Linked DNA regions of Arabidopsis thaliana. The protein of the gene in region 1 purifies or fractionates together with the protein of each later gene. This does not show direct contact. Each region holds a gene or a part of one and is shown in the gene's direction. Other genes may lie near its edges. The genes, in order: AT4G18330, EIF4E and AT4G39520.

Region 1 (7,700 bases):
TATAGGATGGGGCCATAGTTTTGACTTCACCTTCCAAAGCCAAGATTGGAATGTCACAAATATCAATTATACCATGGAATGGAATCCTTTCCACGGCCAATCTTTTGATCAGATCAAACATCGACTTCAGATAGATCCACAAACTCTAGACATCATCGGCACTAAAACTGATCGCGAAAGAGTGAAAAACCGCATTTGGTTTGTTATAAACCAAATCATTTCCCACATTGACGGAGTTTGGGTTGAGGTTCGCGCTTAGCCTGATGTTCTACCTCTTGACTCTTAAGTTATTTTTCTGTGATTTGTTTCGTTATCTATCTTTTATTTGTGTGGTTTAAGATTTGTAGTATTAATTTCTATTTATTGTGTTGCAAACTCTACTCATTGTGGTTTCGTTAGAAACTCTACTTTGGTTTGTTTATAAAAATGCTGATCTTTTATTGTTTATTTTTACGTTAAACTTAATAGACAAACAAAGAACTCTTAATTCGGTGTACAGCTCTACGTTAATATATGTAAAACATCGATCTAAGACAAGTATATTAACTAACATATCGTGCAAATAAATTAATCAACGTGTATGCAGCAATTTGAATTTATAATAATTAAACATGTCCATGTAATAGACAACAAAAGACGCTTGAGATTAAGAAAACAGTACTGAATTCTTGATTTTATTCGATAAAAGTATATCCACCTGGTCGTCACATGGTACTTGACAAATCGTGTGAAAGTCTTTCCTATCTTTAAATATGGATATTAAGCATTGCATGCTAGTGGTGGTCCTACTCTTACCTTAAAACTATATGATTTTGCCATATAAAGAAGTCGAATTTTTCATTAGTGTCAATTCTTCTTTGAACTGTTTTTATTAGAGGCAGCTGTAATTAGAAAACGTCCAAAAAGGGAGGTTCAAATTTTTTTAAAAATGTTTGTTTAGCAAATAGTAAAATGAAAAATTATACAAGAGATGTATTTTCTATTTTTTTTAACTAAAAGAGTTATTGTATTGTTACAAGGTTCAAATCATTTCTCATTAGCTGTAAATGTATTGTTACACCCAGTATTATACTCTATCAAGTTGAAGTAAAAAGAATATTTACAAGTATAAAACTATATACTCAAATATCCCTCTCTCAAGTCGAATTCTTCAAGCGGAATTCTTCAAGAAGAAGATAGTTAAATTGGTAAACGTAAGTTTAGATGTGTTGCATTGTAATATCATTATACAGCCTATTTTGTAAGTTGATGATTTACATTTAAGAGATTGTACTCTGTTATTTAACTGGCATCATCAACAATCTTTTGTTTGTTTTGTTGGAGATTGCGACATTTCCCATCAATCAATCTATCAAGGGTTTGTTGTATACTTGTATGTACAAGAGATATGTTTGACTAGGCTATCAGAAGAATTCATACGAAACGTTTTGTAGATTAGATAGAGTAAAGCAGATTTAAATGTGAGTGTCAAACGAAACTTAACTTGTGACGGTGTTATTCCAAATTTCCCAATTCAACCTTTACTTTTGTGTCCTTACGTCTGCAAAACATTATTATCATCTTTGGTAACTTCATAACATGGACTTAGGGTACGCGGAAAAAGAAGAGAAAGTGTAACAAACTTAAAAATTGACGGCTATGATCAAGTCTTAAAAAAGCTTAAGTACTTAATATAAGATTGCTTGGAAATATGGTGGCTGGAGAGCGCGTCACCATGGTGATAATGACTAATGAGATTGAAAGCACGAAATCATAATCATATTTTGTTATCTATTTTGTTGTTAATTTTAGTGGATTGTGTGTGTTAATGTATTTCTGACGAAAATATTCGTTTTAGTATACTAGCCTGACTTTTAACTTAAAGCTATGGTTCAGTTTTTCTATAAAACTTGTATTCTCTTCATTCGATCTTCCAACGCCACACATTATTATATTTCTCAAACGAAATTTCTCTCTTCAAACAAGAAATACTTAAAGACTGCTCGATCTCTTCAAAATGTATCTAAACAAACTTCCCACTCACAATTTAATATATTCTTGCTATCATTCCATAAACAGATTAACTCATTTCTTGCAATGATTTTTGTTTTTGAAAATGTAGCTAGCAACAAAACTTCTTCCATTTTTTCGTAACTCATATATATAGCTTCTGCCTTCTGCTATCAGATTTCATTTCTCTCAAAATTATTTTTCTTGGTTTCATCTCATTTTTTGGAGGGATTTTTGAGAACATCTTTAAAAAAAAAATAATCTTCCAGTTCTTATTTGTTAATTCTTATAGTTTATGCTCTCATCTCACTTCTCTCAAATTTGTTTCTCTCGCAGGGATTCATGGGGAAGTTTGCCTCAAGATCTCCTCAGAAGTTCTACAAATTTGCTTAACCCTAACTTTACCGAAGGTGGGGCACTAAGAGGTGTCAACACTCATTGGAGGAACACATTTCTTTCTTTCCGTGAAGGAGGTTTCGTAGAGGAAAGGCCGTGGTTGTTGTACCGTGAAAGGGGATCCCGAGTTGCCCATTTCTATGACCCTGTGAGAGAGGAGCTACATCATGGGAAAGACCCATATCTTGAAGGGGCCAAATTCTTAGGATCAACATTGGGTTGGGTTGTTATGTCCAACTCCAGTGCCATACACCGACGTCAAGACCACCAAGCTTTCTTATACAACCCGTTCACTTCACAACGGTACCAACTACCCCTTCTCACCACTGATAACCCATGTGTGATCCGTTACGGTGTGCTCACCGGAGATCCCCGTCAAGACAACACTTATGCTTGTCTCCTAGCCGATAGCTTTCACGAAAATAATCATATGGTGATAGCGCATATGCATGCTCCTAGTCGACAAATATATTATGTAGCCAAGAGTAACGGAGACTGGGATCAGAACTGGTCAGTGACTCGTATCCCTACCTTCAACCATCCAATTTGTGGTTCGACTATAGATTCCCTCTCCCCATCTGTGGACAAAATATCAATTATTTTATGGGGCCATACTCTTGACTTCACCTTCCGAACCCAAAATTGGAATGTCTCAAATACTCAAGAGAATGATACCATCGAATGGAATCCTTTCCACGGCCAATCTTTTGATCAGATCAAACATCGACTTCAGATATTTCCACAAACTCTAGACATTATCGGCACTAAAACTGATCGCGAGAGAGTGAAAAACCGCACTTGGGGTGCTAACAACCAAATCGTTTCTTACACTGACGGAGTTTGGGTTGAGGTTCGCGCTTAGCCTAATGTTCTACCACTTGACTCTTTAAGTTATTTCTCTGTGATTGTTTTCGTTATCTATCTTTTATTTGTGTGGTTTAAGATTTTTAGTATTAATTTCTATTTATTGTGTTGCAAACTCTACTCATTGTGGTTTCGTTAGAAACTCTACTTTGGTTTGTTTATAAAAATGCTGATCTTTTATTGTTTATTTTTACGTTAAACTTAATAGACAAACAAAGAACTCTTAATTCGGTGTACATCTCTTCGTTAATATATGTAAAACATATTTTTTTTAAAAAAATTGTTTAGCAAAGAGTAAAATGAAAAATTCTACAAAAGATGTTCTCTTATTTGGCTCCTCTACAAAAAAAACTCAACTCCGATTACAAATTCGAGTTTAAATTTACAGGTTTTCAATATTGGGCCGTATTGGGTGCTAATGGTTTTACTAATAATAAGAATGGGCCTAGTTAATCATAAGGCAATGAAAAAAAGGTTTACAAAACCCTACATTTTTTACCTTCCACGTGTAAACTTCTTCCCCAATCTTACAAATCTTTAACTGTCATCGAGCGAGCTCAACATTTTTCGGACAACAAAGTGTAAGAGACTGATTAAACAAAATCGAGACTTTATAGTACTCAGGTTTGTCGGAATCGACTGAGTATCGAAATTATTGTGGTGTTTTGTGAACAGAAACCAAGGTATGCATGAAATCGTTTTGTATATAAACCCTAATATCGATTTCAGAATTTTCATTGATCTCGTTGTTTTAGCAGGATTAAAGATGGTTCAATCTGTGTTAATTTCGCGTAACAAGGGTTTGGCGGAGCAAGATCTAACTAAGCTTGATGTAACAAAGTTACATCCTCTGTTTCCTGAAGTCATTTCTCGCCAAGCAACCATAAATATCGGTAAATTACACTCTGCTTTTGCCAGCTCCTCTAGGTCTATAGTATAACTTGATGTCAAAGAAACCAATACTGTGCTAAATATATCTCAGGAACCATTGGTCATGTCGCTCACGGTAAATCGACTATAGTGAAAGCTATCTCTGGTGTTCAGACTGTGCGTTTTAAGAATGAATTAGAGCGTAACATTACCATTAAGCTTGGTTATGCAAATGCAAAGATTTACAAGTGTGAGGATGACAAGTGCCCTAGACCAATGTGCTACAAGTGAGTCATAATCTTCTTTTTGATATAATAAGGCTAAGTGTTATTATGTGTAGCAGCAGCTAATCTGTTAATTTTAGGTCATATGGGAGTGGAAAAGAAGACAACCCAACTTGTGATGTCCCCGGATTTGAGAATTGCAAGATGACACTACGGAGACATGTCTCATGTGTCGATTGTCCGGTATTAATGAGTTTAATTTACACTTTGTCTCTCAAAACTAGAACCATTGGCTATATGTAACTGAGTTGTTTTTTATTCATCAGGGACATGATATTCTTATGGCGACAATGCTCAATGGAGCAGCAATCGTGGATGGTGCTTTACTTCTAATTGCTGCTAACGAGAGTTGTCCACAACCACAAACCGCTGAACATCTTGCTTCTGTTGATATGATGCGCCTTAAGCATATCATAATCCTTCAGAACAAGATTGATCTCATTAATGAGAAAGCCGCCACTGAACAGCACGAGGCTATTCAGAAATTTATAACGGTTTGATCAATTTTCTTATCTCTCTGTTGTTAAATCTTTCATGACTTCATCAGTTTGGTTCTCATATTTTCTGTCACATATATAATGTTGCAGAACACGAATGCTGAGGATGCACCTATAGTTCCTGTCTCAGCACAACTGAAATACAACATTGATGTTGTGAGTGAATACATTGTCAAGAAGATTCCAATCCCTGTGAGAGACTTTGTGTCACCACCAAAGATGATTGTGATTCGTTCTTTCGATGTCAATAAACCTGGCTCGGCGGGTCATGAAATGAAAGGTGGTGTTGCTGGTGGAAGTATCCTCCAGGTATGTTTTTATCTCTCTGTTTCTCCTCTGTTCTTACCTGACTGTGAAACAATTTAGTATTAATATGTGTCTCTCTTTGTTTGGGTGTTTTGAAAGTGAACCAACTGATTGAAATTAGACCTGGTATCACTGGCAAAGATGAGCATGGAAACTCAAAATGCACTCCAATTTACTCGCGTATAACTTCACTATACGCGGAACAGAACGAGCTTCAGTTTGCTGTACCGGGAGGTCTAATCGGAGTTGGAACAACCATGGACCCTACGCTTACGCGTGCTGATAGGTTGGTTGGTCAAGTCCTTGGTGAAATGGGTACTCTCCCTGACGTCTTTGTTGAGCTTGAAGTAAGTTACCAGCTTCTGACTCGTCTCATTGGAGTGAGGACAAAGGAAAAAGAGAAGCAAATGAAAGTGTCAAAGCTAACCAAAGAAGAGATATTGATGGTGAACATCGGGTCTATGTCTACGGGAGCTAAGGTTATTGGAGTCAAGAAAGATATGGTGAAACTCCAACTGACGTCTCCGGTGTGTACCACCATAGGAGAGAAGGTTGCTTTAAGCCGACGTGTCGATAGGCATTGGCGTCTAATTGGTAAGGGTCAGATTATGGCTGGAACCACCATCGATGTTCCTCCTCCTCCTTTCTAATGAAGTAGTGATGAGTTTTTTATATTGTTTGCATTCAAAAATAATTAACATGTGCCTTTGTATGTTTAATCACTTTCTTTCGACTACAATATAAAACTATATTCATATTTAACACAACATTGACGAAAATTTAAAAAACAAATTCATAATTTCATTAATGATATTACTTATCACTAATTAGGAATTATATAATTCTAATTCCCTCCTCGTTCTGAGCTTTTGTTTCATCTTTACGCTCTCTCTTACTCTCAGCCAAAACCCTATACTCTCTTTCAATCCCAATGGAAGATTTGGTTTTGATGAAACAGAGTCTTCTAAAAAGCTTCATCGTCTCTCTTATTCTCACTCTCGTCTTCCTCATCTCACCATCATCATCATCTTCGAATCAAGAAACAAGAGTATCATCAACACAAAAAACGGAAGCTTATCTCAACGGTTACGAATCACCGCACCAACTCGTCTACATCAAGAAAACGACACCGTTTATCTTGAACCAGCGGTTGCAACGAGACAACCACCGTCGTCGTCGTTACAATCACCAATACTACTACTACTATCGACATACTCTTCGTCATCGCCGTGGTCTTCATCATCGTGCTGGCTACTTCAAGATGATGGCCAAGAAGAATAACGGTTTAAACCGTCCGGTTCGACAGGATACTTTCTCGGTTATGCTTCCCAAAGGATTCGTACCTCCTTCCGGTTCATCTCCATGCCATAACCAGAACCCTAATTCCGCTACTACTCTCTTTTGCGATCTTTCTACACAACCCTAGATATCGTTGCCGATACGTCGTACGTGAAACGATTTTGTTCCTCTCGTCGCACTTTTGTATTTTTCATCTTTTAAAGATTTTTTTTTCTTTTTTGTTCGGAATGACCGGTGCATTGATCAGTGCATTTTTGACGGTCAAGTGTATGAAAATAATTTGCATACTAATGTTTGATTGTTCGTGTCCTTTGATTTTTCAGAAAGTACTTATTTTTCCTTACGTGCAGCTGAATTATTTTATTCTATAAAACTAAACTTGACTGATCGGTAAAATAATATATGGAGAGAAAAAAGCATATGTGTCTATGTTTTCAAGGTCAAAACGCATCGTTTGTGGCAAGAACAAGGGAGTATATTGAGCCGATATAATTGGAAATGAGCATGTGAATTTGCATCGTGAGCATAAGCTCTTGTTTCATGGCTTTTTTTTCTTAGCTTCAGTTCCAATTCTTCGTACCGTCCACTCCAATGCATATGTTTGCATTCTAATATCTATATTATATAACTAGCTAGGGATTGTATTTAAAATATCCAACAACATATACAAATGAATTAAGCTATGCCATATTTCTTGAATTAGAGGGAAAAAAATATATGGTTGATTCTAAACCGCTACTGGTTATCGATTATATGCCTTTTGGTCAAAGTTACTACTTACTCAAACCTTTTCATATACGACAAGTTTTTCTTAAAAAGTAAACTTTGTTTCTTTATTATATATGTCAATTACTTGTTAACGACAACAATAAATTTAGAATTTTCACTATTGACCGACTTCATTTGAATGTTGAATTGAATATAAATTATATTTATCAAGCTTATAATTAAATTGTTTACATAAATATCCTAAACAATCGCGTTATTATATTGTCAATAACTTTTCCTCTAAAATAGTCTCAACATTACAACTTGAACCATCGCCAATATCAAAATTGTCCAATACTCCAAGCTCCTCTTTGCCTGAAAGAAGAAGAAAACAGAGAATTAATTCATTTTGCACATCTAGTCCTTTCACAAACTTATTCTCGTCGTGGCCCCAATAATTCCAAATTCTAACAAAATTCACCACATA
Region 2 (6,892 bases), 110 kb from region 1:
GTATTAACTAGTACACGTAACACATCAATGAAATACAAACCGCCGGAATAATAAATTCTGATCAATTAGGCATTAAGTAAATTGACCAAAACAAAAAGTATATTTTACTTTAGGAGATTAGCCGGAACAAAATACTAGATACATTTTAATGTAGAAAAGCATGTAATAATATAAGAACATAATGTAGTCTTCAAGCGACCTTTCCAATATATATTCCAATAATATTTATCGATTCGGAAATTCCGAATTCCCCCCAAACTTTGACCATAGTTTATTCCGTTCGGCTCCACCAAAGATATGTGACTAATTAAATGTTTTGTTCAGATAGCAAACTAAATAATAATATAACTGTTACACTCTTTATTTGCTTAATTTTGTATTCACTTATTATGTTCTAGTTTTGTTTTGTTTTTGGTGTAAATGTTCTACTTTTGTTATTAAGATGGGAAGCTAAAAGCCTAAAAAGTACACGTATAATATAATATTGATTGGTCTTTTTTTTTGTCGGCATATTAATTGATTGGTTTAGAGTTAACAAGAATCATATTAAAAATAATTTAGTCATATGGATTAAGGATAATCCTTAGTGGAGAATCAAACATCTTTATATCCGCAAATTTGTGTGAAAACTTGCTTTTGGAAAAGATGGTATATATGTGTATAGTTGATAACTTATAAGTGTTCTCTAAGTATTACTCCATTTTTCATAATAAATGTTGTTATATACTTTAACAAAAAATATTTTTCAATGTATATTTTAAAAATTAAGTTCCAAACTTTTCTGTTTAATTTTTGCTTTCTTAGTTAATGAAATAAAATGAAATTGCATATCATAAATGTTAATTATAAGATGAATTTATAGTTTTTAATGTGTGAAAATTGTATAAAATGTGCATAATGAAAGGAAATGAGTAATATAAATCATGTGGTGTACGATATATATCAAAGAGAAATAATTCTTATAATCAAACAACACTTACTTAGGTATATATCTCCCAAGCACGGGCCATACGGATAGTTCACCGCTCATTGATAGATTCAAGCTATAATTTTAGTTGTTGTTGTGGCATAAAATTTTCTGGCATCGAGTTGTTGTTATGAGATAACTTCAAACAAATATAAACACCAGATAAGAGACAAGTTTGCTTCCTTGGGCATCATCATTCACCAATGATTACGTAATCAGTGACAATTATATTCGAGTGAACTTAATCAGTGACAATTTGATGTGAAATGATTACATGTATAGCGCATAAATGTTCATGACAGTGTCAAGGAAAAGAAAACCCAAAGAATATAGTGATTAATTTATATATTTTTGATAAAAGTGATTAATAAAAAAAGATGAAGCAAAGTATGCATTAACCTTGTTTTCCATTTCCTTTAAATTTCTTTTTACAATTTAAATTATATATACTCTATGTAAGTCTTACATATCTTTTCATAAAAAGAATGTACATCAATTATGGATTCAAATTTTCTCTGTTCTTTGGACATGTTTTGTAAGTTTACTTTCTTTTCAAAAGTAAATATTAATGTTAATTTTTTAAAAGTTGAAAAGAAATTAAAAAGAGATTTTGATTCTAATCTTTATAGAATAATGGGAGAAACGATGACGCGTTATGCAATATTACCATACAAGTCAATTCATACGATCCAAACTCATCATTTATCAATTATCACTTGTGTCGTCAATACCAGTCAGGCAGTCACTTCTAAACTTTACAAAAAAAAAAAGAAAAAAAAAAACTGTTGATCAGTTCTTTACTACAAAAGAAAACGTCAACTAGCGACAAACTTTGATCTATCGACCATCATTAAGCGCTCGTTGCTAAACAAAAAAGTCGATAGATTTGAAAAATCTCCCGTATATAAAATATGTTGATAAATATAAAATAAGTTTATTTGATTCATTGCATGAGCCATGATTAACGTCGACAACCTTTTTCTTTCTTACATCTGCTTAAAAAAAAATCACACGCACTGAGAAGTTAGATTAAGAATGGTTGACAATTTATTTATTTTTGGTATAAAGAATGGTTGACAATTTATTTATTTTTGGTATAAAGAATGGTTGACAACTAAAGCAAACTTAAACTTATTCTTTTCGAATTACGTATGTACTATCATTATAAATATATTCTCGAATAACTCATATCAAATATATATTTGAAACGTGTATAACTAACATTCGAGATTCTTGGTTTGACGGCATATAGACAAGCCATGCAATTATGTTTTTGCAGCGAATCAAATAATCTTATTTCTTATAAAATCTAAAGAATATATAGCATAGAAATGTAAACAAAAACCAAACTCTATATTTATAGTCTCTCCTGGTGTCGAGAATAACTTTTTTGAGTATATTCTGCACAATTAGTTACTACTTACTAAGTTACTAGTGAGTAGTGATGCACAATAAACAAATTCTGACAGTTAATGGAATAGAACCAGCTTCACTTAGTTATACGTCTCTATCAACTATGAAGTAATAGAATACATTCGACTGCGAAACATTATGAAATCTTTTTATTTTCTCCTTTCTTTCGTTTGACCGATAAAACCAATGGAATGAATATAAGAAATTTCGTTTTGTTTCTGTACGTGGTATATCCACTGATTTAAACTTTTAAATTTACATGCACGGAACTTAAACACAATTGTATATTGTTTAGATTTAGAATATAATCCAGTTGTCTTGTTGGTCTAACATATTATATATATTAATTAACCCAAACTAGGTACATAAACAATTTAATATCTTAAAAGAAATACTATTATGGGGCGGCAGGCAGATCACAACCTTTAGAAATAGAAAGGTAAGACAAACTCACTTATATAGTCAAAAGCTATTAACACTTCCATAAGATATAAATCTCTCAAACTTTTGACAGTCTACAAAATACTTCACATTTTCTTAATAATCATATTATATGCTTTTGTGAAAGCATATAAAAACCTGATCATGTTCGTTTTACAGTTCTGACAATAACAACATGTTTTCTTAACTTTTTTGTAGCTGCTAGCGATCAACGACCAAACTAACGAAAACAACCAATTCTAAAGTTTGTTGTTTGTTTATGTGGTTAGTAATTCAATAATCGAATTTGGCAACCAGTTTTGGTGACTGATTTCATCAACTAATGACTAAAAATTCAGTCTATAAACATTTTCACGTTTCATATTTTGAATTAACGTTAATCACTAAAATTATTTGATTTTTTTGAAGACTACAAAACAAACATAATTTAGTACATGTACTTCAAACTAACACGACCATTAGAAAAACCTTTAAGAGCAAAAAGAGCCGGAGACAAGTTAAAGCCCATAATAGTTGTTAAGTTATCTCTTCGGCCCAAAAAGAAAAAAGACAAGAAGTATGTAATTAAAACGACGTCGTATCATAGTTAACCCTACGAGAGGAAGTACATTAGTTTGGAGAAGAGTAATAGACAGAGAGATAGAGAGAAAGAGAAGCAGTTCGGAGAAACAATGGCGGTAGAAGACACTCCCAAATCTGTTGTAACGGAAGAAGCTAAGCCTAATTCAATAGAGAATCCGATTGATCGATACCATGAGGAAGGTGATGATGCCGAAGAAGGAGAGATCGCCGGAGGAGAAGGAGACGGAAACGTTGACGAATCGAGCAAATCCGGTGTTCCTGAATCGCATCCTCTGGAACATTCATGGACTTTCTGGTTCGATAATCCTGCTGTGAAATCGAAACAAACCTCTTGGGGAAGTTCCTTGCGACCCGTGTTTACGTTTTCAACTGTTGAGGAATTTTGGAGGTTAGGTTTTTGATTTTATTTTATTTCCGACTCAATATCTGGTTTGTTCAATTATTCTGCATCTGGGTTTTGTTATAGGTTTCGATTTGTTGAGGAAAGTTATGTTCTTTATTGGGGGATTAGAAGATCCCATTGAAGTCATTATATGTTTTTGATGAATTGCTATGTTTGGTGTTTGAATTCGTAGCTAAAGCTTATGTTAGGGTTTAGCTTTGATATTCTGTTCACTTGTTTGTGAAGTAAAGTAGAAGAGCAAAGTTTGTGAGAGAAAGAGACCAACTTTGAAATCTTTCTTAGTGGTTTTCTAGGTATCAGAATTTGAGCAAACACTTTCGTGATGACTGAGGGTTGATGTTGTATAGTTCTTGCTCTTCCCAATGAGATTCATAGGTTTGTGTATTGTTCTTTCGACTTCTTATTTTAAAAGACATTTTGGTTTGCAGTTTGTACAACAACATGAAGCATCCGAGCAAGTTAGCTCACGGAGCTGACTTCTACTGTTTCAAACACATCATTGAACCTAAGTGGGAGGATCCTATTTGTGCTAATGGAGGAAAATGGACTATGACTTTCCCTAAGGAGAAGTCTGATAAGAGCTGGCTCTACACTGTACGGTTTCTATTCTTCTTTTATTTTGACTCGTAACTCCTGCGTCATCATCCAATTGAATCTCACCGGTTTTTCTTTTTACATGCTTGGTTTAGTTGCTTGCATTGATTGGAGAGCAGTTTGATCATGGAGATGAAATATGTGGAGCAGTTGTCAACATTAGAGGAAAGCAAGAAAGGATATCTATTTGGACTAAAAATGCTTCAAACGAAGCTGCTCAGGTAAATAGAAAAGACCTTTCTCATCAAAACTCATCAAACAGTCTCTCTGTGTAAAAATAAGACTTTAATTCTCGTCTGCATCAAATGTTGCAGGTGAGCATTGGAAAACAATGGAAGGAGTTTCTCGATTACAACAACAGCATAGGTTTCATCATCCATGTAAGAAGAAAGCTTCTCATAATTCTAATTCAAAAGTCTTCATTTTCTTCAGATCTCTCATTGTTTGGTTTGGTTTCTTTTTTTTTCAGGAGGATGCGAAGAAGCTCGACAGGAATGCAAAGAACGCTTACACCGCTTGAAACCTCTCAAATCTTTGCATTGTTTCAATTACAGTTTTGTATGTGAGAGATCTCTATTTATCTAAACATGACTTGACAGTCTGTCTTTGCTAGTGTTGATTGTTCACGAAGCTCTAACATTTCATTTAGTAATATATTAGTATGGTTCTTCATAATATTTACGTTGGTGCCCTTGTATAAAACCACCGGAGTGAGCGCAAGCTTTACAGACAAACAGTGCTTCTGTCTACCCAAGGCGGGCCTTAAAAGCCTGAATAGTGTATATGTTTACTTGACAAGAGCCCATGTACACTCATGAGCGATTGACTTTAACCGGTTTTAGAGAAAACTACTTTTACATTGTCACATTTACATCCTTTATAATTAACCTTTTAATTTAGGTTTTAAAGATCCACCTCAGCATTTATTTTAATGGAATGATTATTTAGCAGTGTGAACCGATTAACTCGGTTTTTGACGGTGACCGGTTTAGAGGAAATGGGAGTGTCGGTAGGAGATCTAAGTAGCGAGTATGTAAATTGTCCAACTGTCTGAAAAGGACCACTTGGGACGACAAGATTCTTCGGCTAATAATAATACATCACTCGTTTCAACAAATAAAATTTTCCTTTCTATTATTATGCAATCTTATAGCATATGGATTTGATCTTTTTTAATATATAAACAAAAGGTTTTCCAATTATGCTAAACCATAATCTGAAATTGATTTTAAATAGCTACAATCAACTACCCAAAAGCTTCAAATATGCAAAATAATAAAGTATAGGTTTATATATATAAACGCACACAAAAGAGGTTGAATAAAAATAAACATAAGGATGCATGTGCAGTCCAGATTAGATCTAAATCTATTGAGTATTGTAATAATATTGTTATGAAGATCTTGCTGCGAAACTACACACATTTAATTCCAACATGTTTTGTTTATAGAAATTGAATAAAATCAAACGCGCCTTCATCTTCAAGTTAAAAATCAAATCTTAATTAGTGAAGACAAAGAAGAAGAAGACATTATTTTAAGTGAGTTCTCTCTCTGTCACACTCACAAAGCTTTATACTTTCTGGCTACTGCAAGCTCATCACTGAAAAGAGCTTAAACCAGAGAGATCTGATAAGAGAAATTTTAGAGTCTCTCTGCTTCAACAAGATCTACATCGACCAGGTTCAATATTTTTCTCTACTGTTAGTTCGTGTTCTAGCTCTGTTTCAACGAGATCCGATTCTGTGTTTTCGATTTCAGTGCTAAAGTTACGGTCTTTGAATCTTTCTATGTTAGGATTAGTCTTTTGAATCCATAAACTCTAGATTTCAATTGTTAAAGGCTAGGTTTTGATTAGTTTGAATTAGCTAGATCCTTTTTTAACAGATCTTGATGTTTAAGCTCAAAGTTGTGTCGTTATACTGAGAATCAAGTTTGTGATTTGTTGGGAATGGTTTCAGGAGATTAGAAAGAATCATGGGTTCTAAGCATAACCCACCAGGGAATAACAGATCGAGAAGTACACTATCTCTACTCGTTGTGGTTGGTTTATGTTGTTTCTTCTATCTTCTTGGAGCATGGCAAAAGAGTGGGTTTGGTAAAGGAGATAGCATAGCTATGGAGATTACAAAGCAAGCGCAGTGTACTGACATTGTCACTGATCTTGATTTTGAACCTCATCACAACACAGTGAAGATCCCACATAAAGCTGATCCCAAACCTGTTTCTTTCAAACCGTGTGATGTGAAGCTCAAGGATTACACGCCTTGTCAAGAGCAAGACCGAGCTATGAAGTTCCCGAGAGAGAACATGATTTACAGAGAGAGACATTGTCCTCCTGATAATGAGAAGCTGCGTTGTCTTGTTCCAGCTCCTAAAGGGTATATGACTCCTTTCCCTTGGCCTAAAAGCAGAGATTATGTTCACTATGCTAATGCTCCTTTCAAGAGCTTGACTGTCGAAAAAGCTGGACAGAATTGGGTTCAGTTTCAA
Region 3 (8,680 bases), 8.2 Mb from region 1:
AAAATTATTTTTATACAATATTTCTTAAAGAATGTGAAATTTCTAAAAAATTCATCTTAGTGGAACGGAGGGAGTATTTACTAACCATAAATGAATGTAAATATTTTACAAATTTCAAGATTTATTAGCAGAATGATGTATAAAATAGGAATATTTAATGTCGTCCAAATAGGAATATTGGTAGGTGAAACGTGGAATTAAAATTCAACATATGTTGCTAAAGGATGGCCCACGCAATGTAACATGCCGGGCCATCAAAATCTACCGTTCTTGTTTTTCGACCAAACCTAACCAAAAAACTTAAATCATCCAATATCATCAGCCACCTGTCGTTTTGATGTTTGGTAGTATAACTGGTTGCCGTTTTATTTATTAGTTCCATCACCCTTTCTTCGCTTATGACAAAAAACGGCAGCATGTTTATTCGTCACAGCACGCTCTGTTCTTCTCACTCAGGAGGATGAGAAGCTATCGCTGTTGGCGTAAAGTCCAAGAAACCATACGTTTATACTCCTCTTCATCTTCTTCTGCTTCAAGTCTTTTGGAATTTGTAAACGCAGATTTTCCTTCTACGATAGGAATCCGAGGAAGGCGCGAATTTGCTCGTCTCTTGCAGCTGCGTGCGTCAGATGATCTGTTGCATTATCAAAATGTAGTTCATGGTCAGATTATTGTTTGGGGCCTCGAGTTAGATACGTATCTTAGCAACATTTTGATCAATTTGTATTCGAGAGCTGGTGGTATGGTTTATGCACGTAAGGTGTTCGAGAAAATGCCTGAGAGAAACTTAGTTTCTTGGTCTACCATGGTTTCAGCTTGCAACCATCATGGGATTTATGAGGAATCTTTGGTGGTTTTCTTAGAGTTCTGGAGAACTAGAAAAGACAGTCCGAATGAATATATTTTGTCGAGTTTTATTCAAGCTTGCTCAGGCTTAGATGGTCGTGGGCGTTGGATGGTGTTTCAACTACAAAGTTTTCTTGTCAAGAGTGGGTTTGATAGGGATGTTTATGTTGGTACCTTGTTGATTGATTTTTATTTGAAGGATGGTAATATCGATTATGCGAGGCTTGTGTTTGATGCTTTACCAGAGAAATCTACTGTGACTTGGACGACCATGATCAGTGGGTGTGTAAAAATGGGAAGAAGCTACGTTTCATTACAGCTGTTCTACCAACTAATGGAAGACAATGTTGTTCCAGATGGCTACATCCTTTCGACGGTTCTAAGTGCATGTTCAATACTTCCGTTTCTTGAAGGTGGGAAGCAGATTCATGCGCACATCTTAAGATATGGACTTGAGATGGATGCCTCACTGATGAATGTGCTTATAGATTCTTATGTGAAGTGTGGCAGAGTTATAGCGGCTCATAAGCTATTCAATGGAATGCCGAATAAAAACATCATTTCGTGGACCACTTTGCTCTCTGGTTATAAGCAGAACGCTCTTCATAAAGAAGCCATGGAATTGTTTACCAGTATGTCAAAGTTTGGTTTAAAGCCGGATATGTATGCTTGCTCTAGCATACTCACATCTTGTGCCTCACTTCATGCTTTGGGATTTGGAACACAAGTTCATGCTTACACTATCAAAGCCAATCTTGGCAATGATAGCTATGTGACTAACAGCTTGATTGACATGTATGCGAAATGTGACTGTTTGACCGATGCCAGAAAAGTTTTTGATATTTTCGCTGCTGCTGATGTGGTTTTATTCAATGCAATGATTGAAGGTTACTCGAGACTTGGGACACAATGGGAACTACATGAAGCATTGAACATCTTTCGTGACATGAGGTTCAGATTGATTCGACCTAGCCTATTGACTTTTGTTAGCCTTCTACGTGCATCTGCTTCTTTAACAAGCTTGGGACTGAGTAAACAAATCCATGGATTGATGTTCAAATATGGGTTAAACTTAGATATATTTGCTGGAAGCGCTTTGATTGATGTTTACTCAAATTGCTACTGCCTCAAGGATTCCAGGCTTGTGTTTGATGAAATGAAAGTGAAAGATCTTGTTATCTGGAATTCTATGTTTGCAGGTTATGTTCAACAATCAGAGAACGAAGAAGCTCTCAACCTGTTTCTGGAATTACAGTTATCAAGAGAAAGACCTGACGAATTCACGTTTGCCAACATGGTTACAGCAGCTGGCAACCTAGCAAGTGTTCAATTGGGTCAAGAGTTCCATTGCCAGCTTCTGAAAAGAGGCTTGGAATGTAATCCGTATATTACAAATGCTCTACTAGATATGTACGCCAAATGTGGTAGTCCCGAAGACGCTCATAAGGCTTTTGATTCAGCAGCTTCAAGAGATGTAGTTTGTTGGAATTCTGTCATCTCATCTTATGCGAATCATGGAGAAGGCAAAAAGGCTCTTCAGATGCTTGAAAAAATGATGAGTGAGGGAATAGAGCCTAACTACATCACCTTTGTTGGAGTTCTATCAGCGTGTAGCCATGCTGGTCTTGTAGAAGATGGACTTAAGCAATTTGAGTTAATGCTTCGATTTGGAATTGAACCTGAAACTGAGCACTATGTTTGTATGGTATCTCTTTTAGGCCGTGCTGGTAGATTGAACAAAGCAAGGGAGTTAATTGAGAAAATGCCGACAAAACCAGCTGCTATAGTATGGAGGAGCTTGCTGAGTGGATGCGCAAAGGCCGGTAACGTCGAGTTAGCTGAACATGCTGCTGAAATGGCTATTTTGTCTGATCCCAAGGACAGTGGATCGTTTACTATGCTTTCTAATATTTACGCGTCCAAGGGTATGTGGACTGAAGCTAAGAAGGTGAGAGAAAGAATGAAGGTTGAAGGTGTGGTGAAAGAACCTGGACGTAGTTGGATTGGGATTAATAAGGAGGTTCATATATTTTTGTCTAAGGATAAATCTCACTGCAAGGCTAATCAAATTTATGAAGTGTTAGACGACTTACTTGTGCAGATCAGAGGAGTTAGTTAATAACTACCATACAAGAACTCATTTTCTATTGGAGTGATGGACTCTATTTGGTTAAAGACCAATGCAGCAGATGAAGCTTAAAAGCGAGCCAAAGAAGAAAGAATAAGCCATGGTTAATATCGAGAAGCTGAAGGGGTAGCTAGCTCAGGAGAGCAAAGATGTTGCTATTAAGTTTTGTAATCAAGGGAAAATCGATTCTGTTCCGTTCAAATCCGAAGGAAGACTCAAAAATTAACCCCGGTTCAGTTCTCAGTTTCTTCTCATCATCTCCTAAAACCGGGTTGAGAGAGAAGTTGTAATGGTGAATGCATGAATGGTATGTTGTACATGATTCATTTGAATTTAGTTAAACCGTTTTTGAAATCAACTAAAACCGAAAAACACCAATTCAAAACAAAACAAAACAAAAATTCAGAACAGGGTTTATTGTATATAACCAAACTAAATTCTCATTCTGTTGTAAATTTTATTAAACCGGAAAACCAAATCGGACATATATGGGCCTAAAATGTTGTTGGGTCAGGCCGAATTCTAGACAGTTCTGTTCTAGTTTTTTCTCCTTTGTCGTAATCAGGTGGACGAAACGAAAACCCTCGGGATTCCTCTGCTTCTGTCTCGTCCGTCGTCGTCAATTTCTCTGCATCAGAGATTCCGGTGTCCTTCTTCCTTTCACTCGCGTATAACCTCTTTTCCTTGACGTTGTCTCCGTGAGCTCTCTGTGCTTTGACTGCAACCATGTCGACTATTATGCAGAAGATCAAAGAAATTGAAGATGAGGTAATTATTCAATCCTCTCTGATTCTTCACCTCTTCTCTTCAATTTTGGATGCATAGAACTGTGAATCCGAAATATCTATTCTGAATCAAAGAAATGATTTTTCAATCTGGGTGACTCACAAGTACGAGGTTTTTTTTGTTTATGTGGCAGATGGCTAAAACACAGAAGAATAAAGCTACTTCTCATCATCTGGGTTTGTTAAAGGTACATTTTTTCTCCTCTTTAGGTCGTTTTTTGTAGCTTTGAGAGTGAGGTTGATTGGTTGAGGTGTTTTTGCTTATCAAATGCAAATTTGGTTGATTGGTTTATATCTGTTTTGATACTTGATAAAAGCTATCATGAAATCCCAACCAGTAAGCAAGCTCATTAAGAAATATTTTAACTTCTGGTTGAAATCGTTTATGTTTTATACGAACTCCCAAATCATTGAATAAGCACAAAGCTGAGATATTTTATTTACGGCATGATCTCTTGTGAAGTTCCTTGGATCAAACAACTACTAGGCAGGCATTATATATTATTCTGTATTGATTTTAGAATTTGGTACTTATTCCTGCACCATTAGCTTCTCGTCATATTTCACTGGTCCATTTTGCAGGCCAAGCTTGCTAAGCTTCGGAGGGACCTTCTTGCACCGCCTACCAAAGGTGGCGGTGGTGGTGCTGGAGAAGGTTTTGATGTGACTAAAAGTGGAGATTCTAGAGTTGGACTGGTCGGATTTCCTTCGGTTGGAAAATCTACGCTATTAAACAAGCTGACTGGGACATTTTCCGAGGTTTGTAGTTATCGTTACGAATATTGAACTTCCTTTCTCTTGTTGTAATTGGAATTTTGAAACCTACCACGTATCCATGGCATCCTATTTCTAGTTACTTTTTGACCAACTTCCTGTGCAATATCACTTATAAGGCAAGACTGTTCGGCGCTAGTCTTTTCCTGGATAGATGAACATAAATCTTGGAATTAGAACTGTATTTTGGCTGATACTCAATTTTCTGAAGGTACATACTGTGATACACAATGTTTTCTCAGGTTGCTTCTTATGAGTTCACGACTTTGACATGCATTCCTGGTGTTATCACATATCGTGGAGCTAAAATCCAGGTATGGTATCTACATCTATGCGTCTGTGTTAATCTGTTATTTGTGGGGGAAAAATGATAATTCTTGGATAGTGTTTCCTCTGTCTTGGTAATTGTTGAAACACAATGAAATCCTTGGCTACATATGCCATGTCCTAGCTTGTAATTATCTTTTCTCGAGTCTTACTTCTATATTAAACATGTATCTTGCTTGATCTTTTAATGACTTCTTGGTACTTAGTTTAAGTCAGGAAACGACCTGTAATTATTCATTGGACACTGATGCTAATACTCTTTTTTATGTCCCCTTCTATGTGTTTGCAGTTATTAGATCTTCCTGGTATTATTGAGGGTGCTAAAGATGGAAAAGGTAGAGGAAGACAGGTAAGTCGAGTCTAAATCTCTTGAGTATTTTATATTTTGACCCTCTTTGATCATCTTTCACACTTTACTATTTCCAGGTTATAAGTACGGCTAGGACATGCAACTGCATCTTAATAGTTCTTGATGCCATAAAACCAATTACTCACAAGCGTCTCATTGAAAAAGAGCTCGAAGGATTCGGAATAAGGTATAGATTGTTTATATAACAACCTTTATACACTGTATATTTGATCGTTTCTGGTAGATAGTCTGACTCGATCATGGACTGTTGCTATGTAGGTTGAACAAGGAGCCACCAAATTTAACATTTAGGAAAAAAGACAAAGGTGGTATCAATCTAACTTCTACAGTCGCTGTCACACACCTTGACCTTGACACCGTCAAGGCGATTTGCGGTGAGTACAGGATGCACAATGCTGACATCACCCTGCGCTACGATGCAACCGCTGATGACCTCATTGATGTCATCGAGGGCAGTCGGATTTATATGCCCTGTATCTATGCTGTCAACAAGATCGATTCAATCACACTTGAGGAACTTGAAATTTTGGACAAACTTCCTCATTACTGTCCTGTCAGGTAAATGTTGTTAAATTACCGGCAGGATTTGCGATAAACTTGTTTACTTTTGCCATTAAGATATAAATTTATTTATCTTGCAGTGCGCATCTGGAGTGGAATCTTGATGGACTTCTGGACAAGATATGGGAATACTTGGATCTAACTCGAATCTACACAAAACCAAAGGCAATGAATCCGGATTATGATGATCCCGTAATCTTATCATCCAAGAAGAGAACAGTAGAGGACTTCTGCATCCGGATTCACAAAGACATGCTTAAACAATTCAAGTAGTAAGTAATTAAAATCCTTAACATTTTTCTTTTCTCTGTTATATGGTTCTTGCTCAAAAGCATCGCTCATGAATACTTAACTAATGATCTCCTGATACAGCGCTCTGGTTTGGGGTTCAAGTGCCAAACACAAGCCACAAAGAGTTGGAAAGGTTAGTTCTTCTAGCAAATCAAACAAAAGTTAATCTGGTAAATCGATATTGCAATATCCCTGACTAACTAACTATTGCTGTCTCGACATCGTATTTTATACTTCAGGAACACGAGCTTGAGGACGAGGATGTTGTTCAGATCGTTAAAAAGATATGATTTTTGCAGATAATGGAGAGCAGTCAAGAGACCAACCAAAGTAGCCATAATGAGATCTCCTATAGGAAGGTCAGGATTTCTTTTGGTTTCTCAGCTTTATCTTTCTTTTGTAATTGTATTATTATATCCAGACGAAATCTGTGTCTACACCCTTTTTTATGTCTTATTAGATACTTTTGTCTTCTTCCAATAATACTATTAAGCATGTGATTGATGTTGTCGGAACACCTCCTATTATCTCCAGTATGGGTTTGCCTAGATTTTCTCCTCCCTTGTTTTTATGTATGCAACTAGACTTTTTTGGATTTTATTTACTAAACATATGATTCAGTTTTTCTTCATGTAATAAAGAAAAACTGTTAAAACGGCCTTCATTGCACTGACCAGGTCGAGGTGTTATTATTTCTGACAGTTAGTTGTTACTTGGACTGTTGATTAAATTTAATGACATTAATAGATTTGGAAAACTATTACAACGACCTTCGTTGCAGTGTCTGGGACCGTGAATTCTGATGCACTTCTCGATTTGTCTATCCTCTTAAAGTTGGTTTGTCATTTAGTGTCTGAAATTGTAAGATTATGGACCCTTCTTTACAAGTCCTCCACCAATTCTGTCTCATCCATTTGTGTGGTTAGTAGCTTCACCAGCTTAACACTTTCACTAATCTTAATTCTTAAGATATGAAAAGCAGTTGAATGAATGCATTGGTAATTTCTTTCTTTTTTAATAAATTTTCTTTTTGTTGGTTGCTAATTTATATATGTAATAATCTTACTCTATATAAACAAGTTCCTTCAACACACAAAAGGAACCACCACCATATTGTGTCTGTAAACCAAGCTCCTAACTCTCTCATATGGCTTCTGTAAGCTTACTTGACGTTGCCATAGCCATCATTTGCCTTTTCTTCTTCTATTACATGTACTTCAAGAAACCTCATGGTCAGGTTTTTCGAAACTGGCCAGTTATTGGGATGCTTCCAGGCTTCCTGATGGTTCTCCACCGCATCTACAACTTCGGCGTGGAGGCTCTTGAAATGAGCCACTTAACCTTTCTATTTAAGGGACCGTGGTTCGCTGAAATGGATATGTTGTTCACAGTTGATCCAGCTAATATTCACTACATATTGAGCTCAAACTTCTCCAACTATACCAAAGGTGCCGACTTTAAAGAAGTCTTTGATGTTTTTGGAGAAATGATCTTTAGTTCGGACTCGGAGCTATGGAAGAATCAAAGAAAAGCTGCTCAATTCATGCTTAATCATCAAGGCTTTCAAAAGCTATCATTGAGTGCAACGAGGAGTAAGCTTTACGATGGTCTTGTTCCTCTTTTCAATCAATGTTGTGAGGAAGAGAAGGTCGTGGATTTGCAGCAAGTGTTTCAAAGATTCACTTTTGATACAACTTTCTTTATTGTTACCGGGTTTGATCCTAAATCTCTCTCTATTGAAATGCCGGAAGTGGAGTATGCTAAAGCTCTTGACGATCTTGGAGAAGGGATTTTTTATAGGCACATTAAACCGAAGTTCTTCTGGAAGCTGCAAAACCGGTTTGGGTTAGGGCAAGAGAAGAGGATGACTGAAGCTGATGCCACTTTTGATCGCGTTTCTGCGAAATACATATTAGCTAAGAGAGAAGAGATAAGGTCACAGGGGATTGATCATCATGCAAATGGTGAAAGTGAGGATCTTTTGACATCTCACATAAAGCTTGATACAACCAAGTACGAGCTCTTGAACCCGAGTGATGATAAGTTCCTCAGAGACACCATCTTAGCTTTCAATCTTGCTGGGAGAGACACAACGTCTTCTGCTCTCTCTTGGTTTTTTTGGCTTCTCTCTGAAAACCCTCAAGTTGTAACAAAGATTCGTAAAGAGATCATCGACAAAAATATTTCAAAAGACGGAAGAAATGGCCAAGAGAACTTAGACAAGTTGGTCTACTTACATGCGGCGTTGTATGAATCAATGAGGCTCTATCCACCGGTTGCCTTCCAACGCAAGTCTCCTATAAAGCCAGATGTGCTGCCAAGTGGGCATAAGGTAGAAGCAAACTCAGTCATCATAATTTTTCTTTTCGCGTTGGGAAGGATGAGAGCGGTTTGGGGAGAAGATGCAACAGAGTTCAAGCCAGAGAGATGGGTTTCTGAGTCCGGTGGGTTGAGACATGCACCTTCCTTCAAGTTTTTATCATTTAACGCCGGTCCGAGAACTTGTCCTGGTAAGCAATTAGCTATGACTCTAATGAAGACCGTAGTTGTGGAGATATTACAAAACTATGATATTGATGTTATCAAAGGACAGAAGAT

The links.
Region 2: the proteins of AT4G18330 (region 1) and EIF4E fractionate together in Arabidopsis thaliana (co-fractionation; one large-scale study listed by BioGRID). This does not show direct contact.
Region 3: the proteins of AT4G18330 (region 1) and AT4G39520 fractionate together in Arabidopsis thaliana (co-fractionation; one large-scale study listed by BioGRID). This does not show direct contact.

What each region holds. Positions count from the first base shown.
Region 1 is NC_003075.7:10,122,732-10,130,431, forward strand, and holds AT4G18330 (Translation elongation factor EF1A/initiation factor IF2gamma family protein), read left to right. Parts: upstream 1-3,847; 5' UTR 3,848-3,932; intron 3,933-4,004; 5' UTR 4,005-4,015; coding exon 4,016-4,142; intron 4,143-4,231; coding exon 4,232-4,406; intron 4,407-4,483; coding exon 4,484-4,586; intron 4,587-4,669; coding exon 4,670-4,897; intron 4,898-4,990; coding exon 4,991-5,209; intron 5,210-5,292; coding exon 5,293-5,856; 3' UTR 5,857-6,003; downstream 6,004-7,700. Other genes in the region: AT4G18310 (uncharacterized protein), read left to right, coding at 1-259; AT4G18320 (uncharacterized protein), read left to right, coding at 2,285-3,247; AT4G18335 (uncharacterized protein), read left to right, coding at 6,138-6,632; AT4G18340 (Glycosyl hydrolase superfamily protein), read right to left, coding at 7,514-7,588.
Region 2 is NC_003075.7:10,014,752-10,021,643, reverse strand, and holds EIF4E (eukaryotic translation initiation factor 4E), read left to right. Parts: upstream 1-3,411; 5' UTR 3,412-3,492; coding exon 3,493-3,791; intron 3,792-4,234; coding exon 4,235-4,400; intron 4,401-4,495; coding exon 4,496-4,621; intron 4,622-4,714; coding exon 4,715-4,780; intron 4,781-4,869; coding exon 4,870-4,920; 3' UTR 4,921-5,114; downstream 5,115-6,892. Other genes in the region: AT4G18030 (S-adenosyl-L-methionine-dependent methyltransferases superfamily protein), read left to right, coding at 6,377-6,892. UniProt on the Arabidopsis thaliana protein: Component of the protein complex eIF4F, which is involved in the recognition of the mRNA cap, ATP-dependent unwinding of 5'-terminal secondary structure and recruitment of mRNA to the ribosome.
Region 3 is NC_003075.7:18,369,021-18,377,700, reverse strand, and holds AT4G39520 (GTP-binding protein-like protein), read left to right. Parts: upstream 1-3,461; 5' UTR 3,462-3,700; coding exon 3,701-3,742; intron 3,743-3,893; coding exon 3,894-3,947; intron 3,948-4,341; coding exon 4,342-4,518; intron 4,519-4,775; coding exon 4,776-4,847; intron 4,848-5,149; coding exon 5,150-5,209; intron 5,210-5,286; coding exon 5,287-5,396; intron 5,397-5,488; coding exon 5,489-5,788; intron 5,789-5,871; coding exon 5,872-6,063; intron 6,064-6,163; coding exon 6,164-6,215; intron 6,216-6,321; coding exon 6,322-6,372; 3' UTR 6,373-6,836; downstream 6,837-8,680. Other genes in the region: AT4G39530 (Tetratricopeptide repeat (TPR)-like superfamily protein), read left to right, coding at 461-2,965; CYP96A12 (cytochrome P450, family 96, subfamily A, polypeptide 12), read left to right, coding at 7,230-8,680. UniProt on the Arabidopsis thaliana protein: Binds GDP and GTP, and has low GTPase activity in vitro.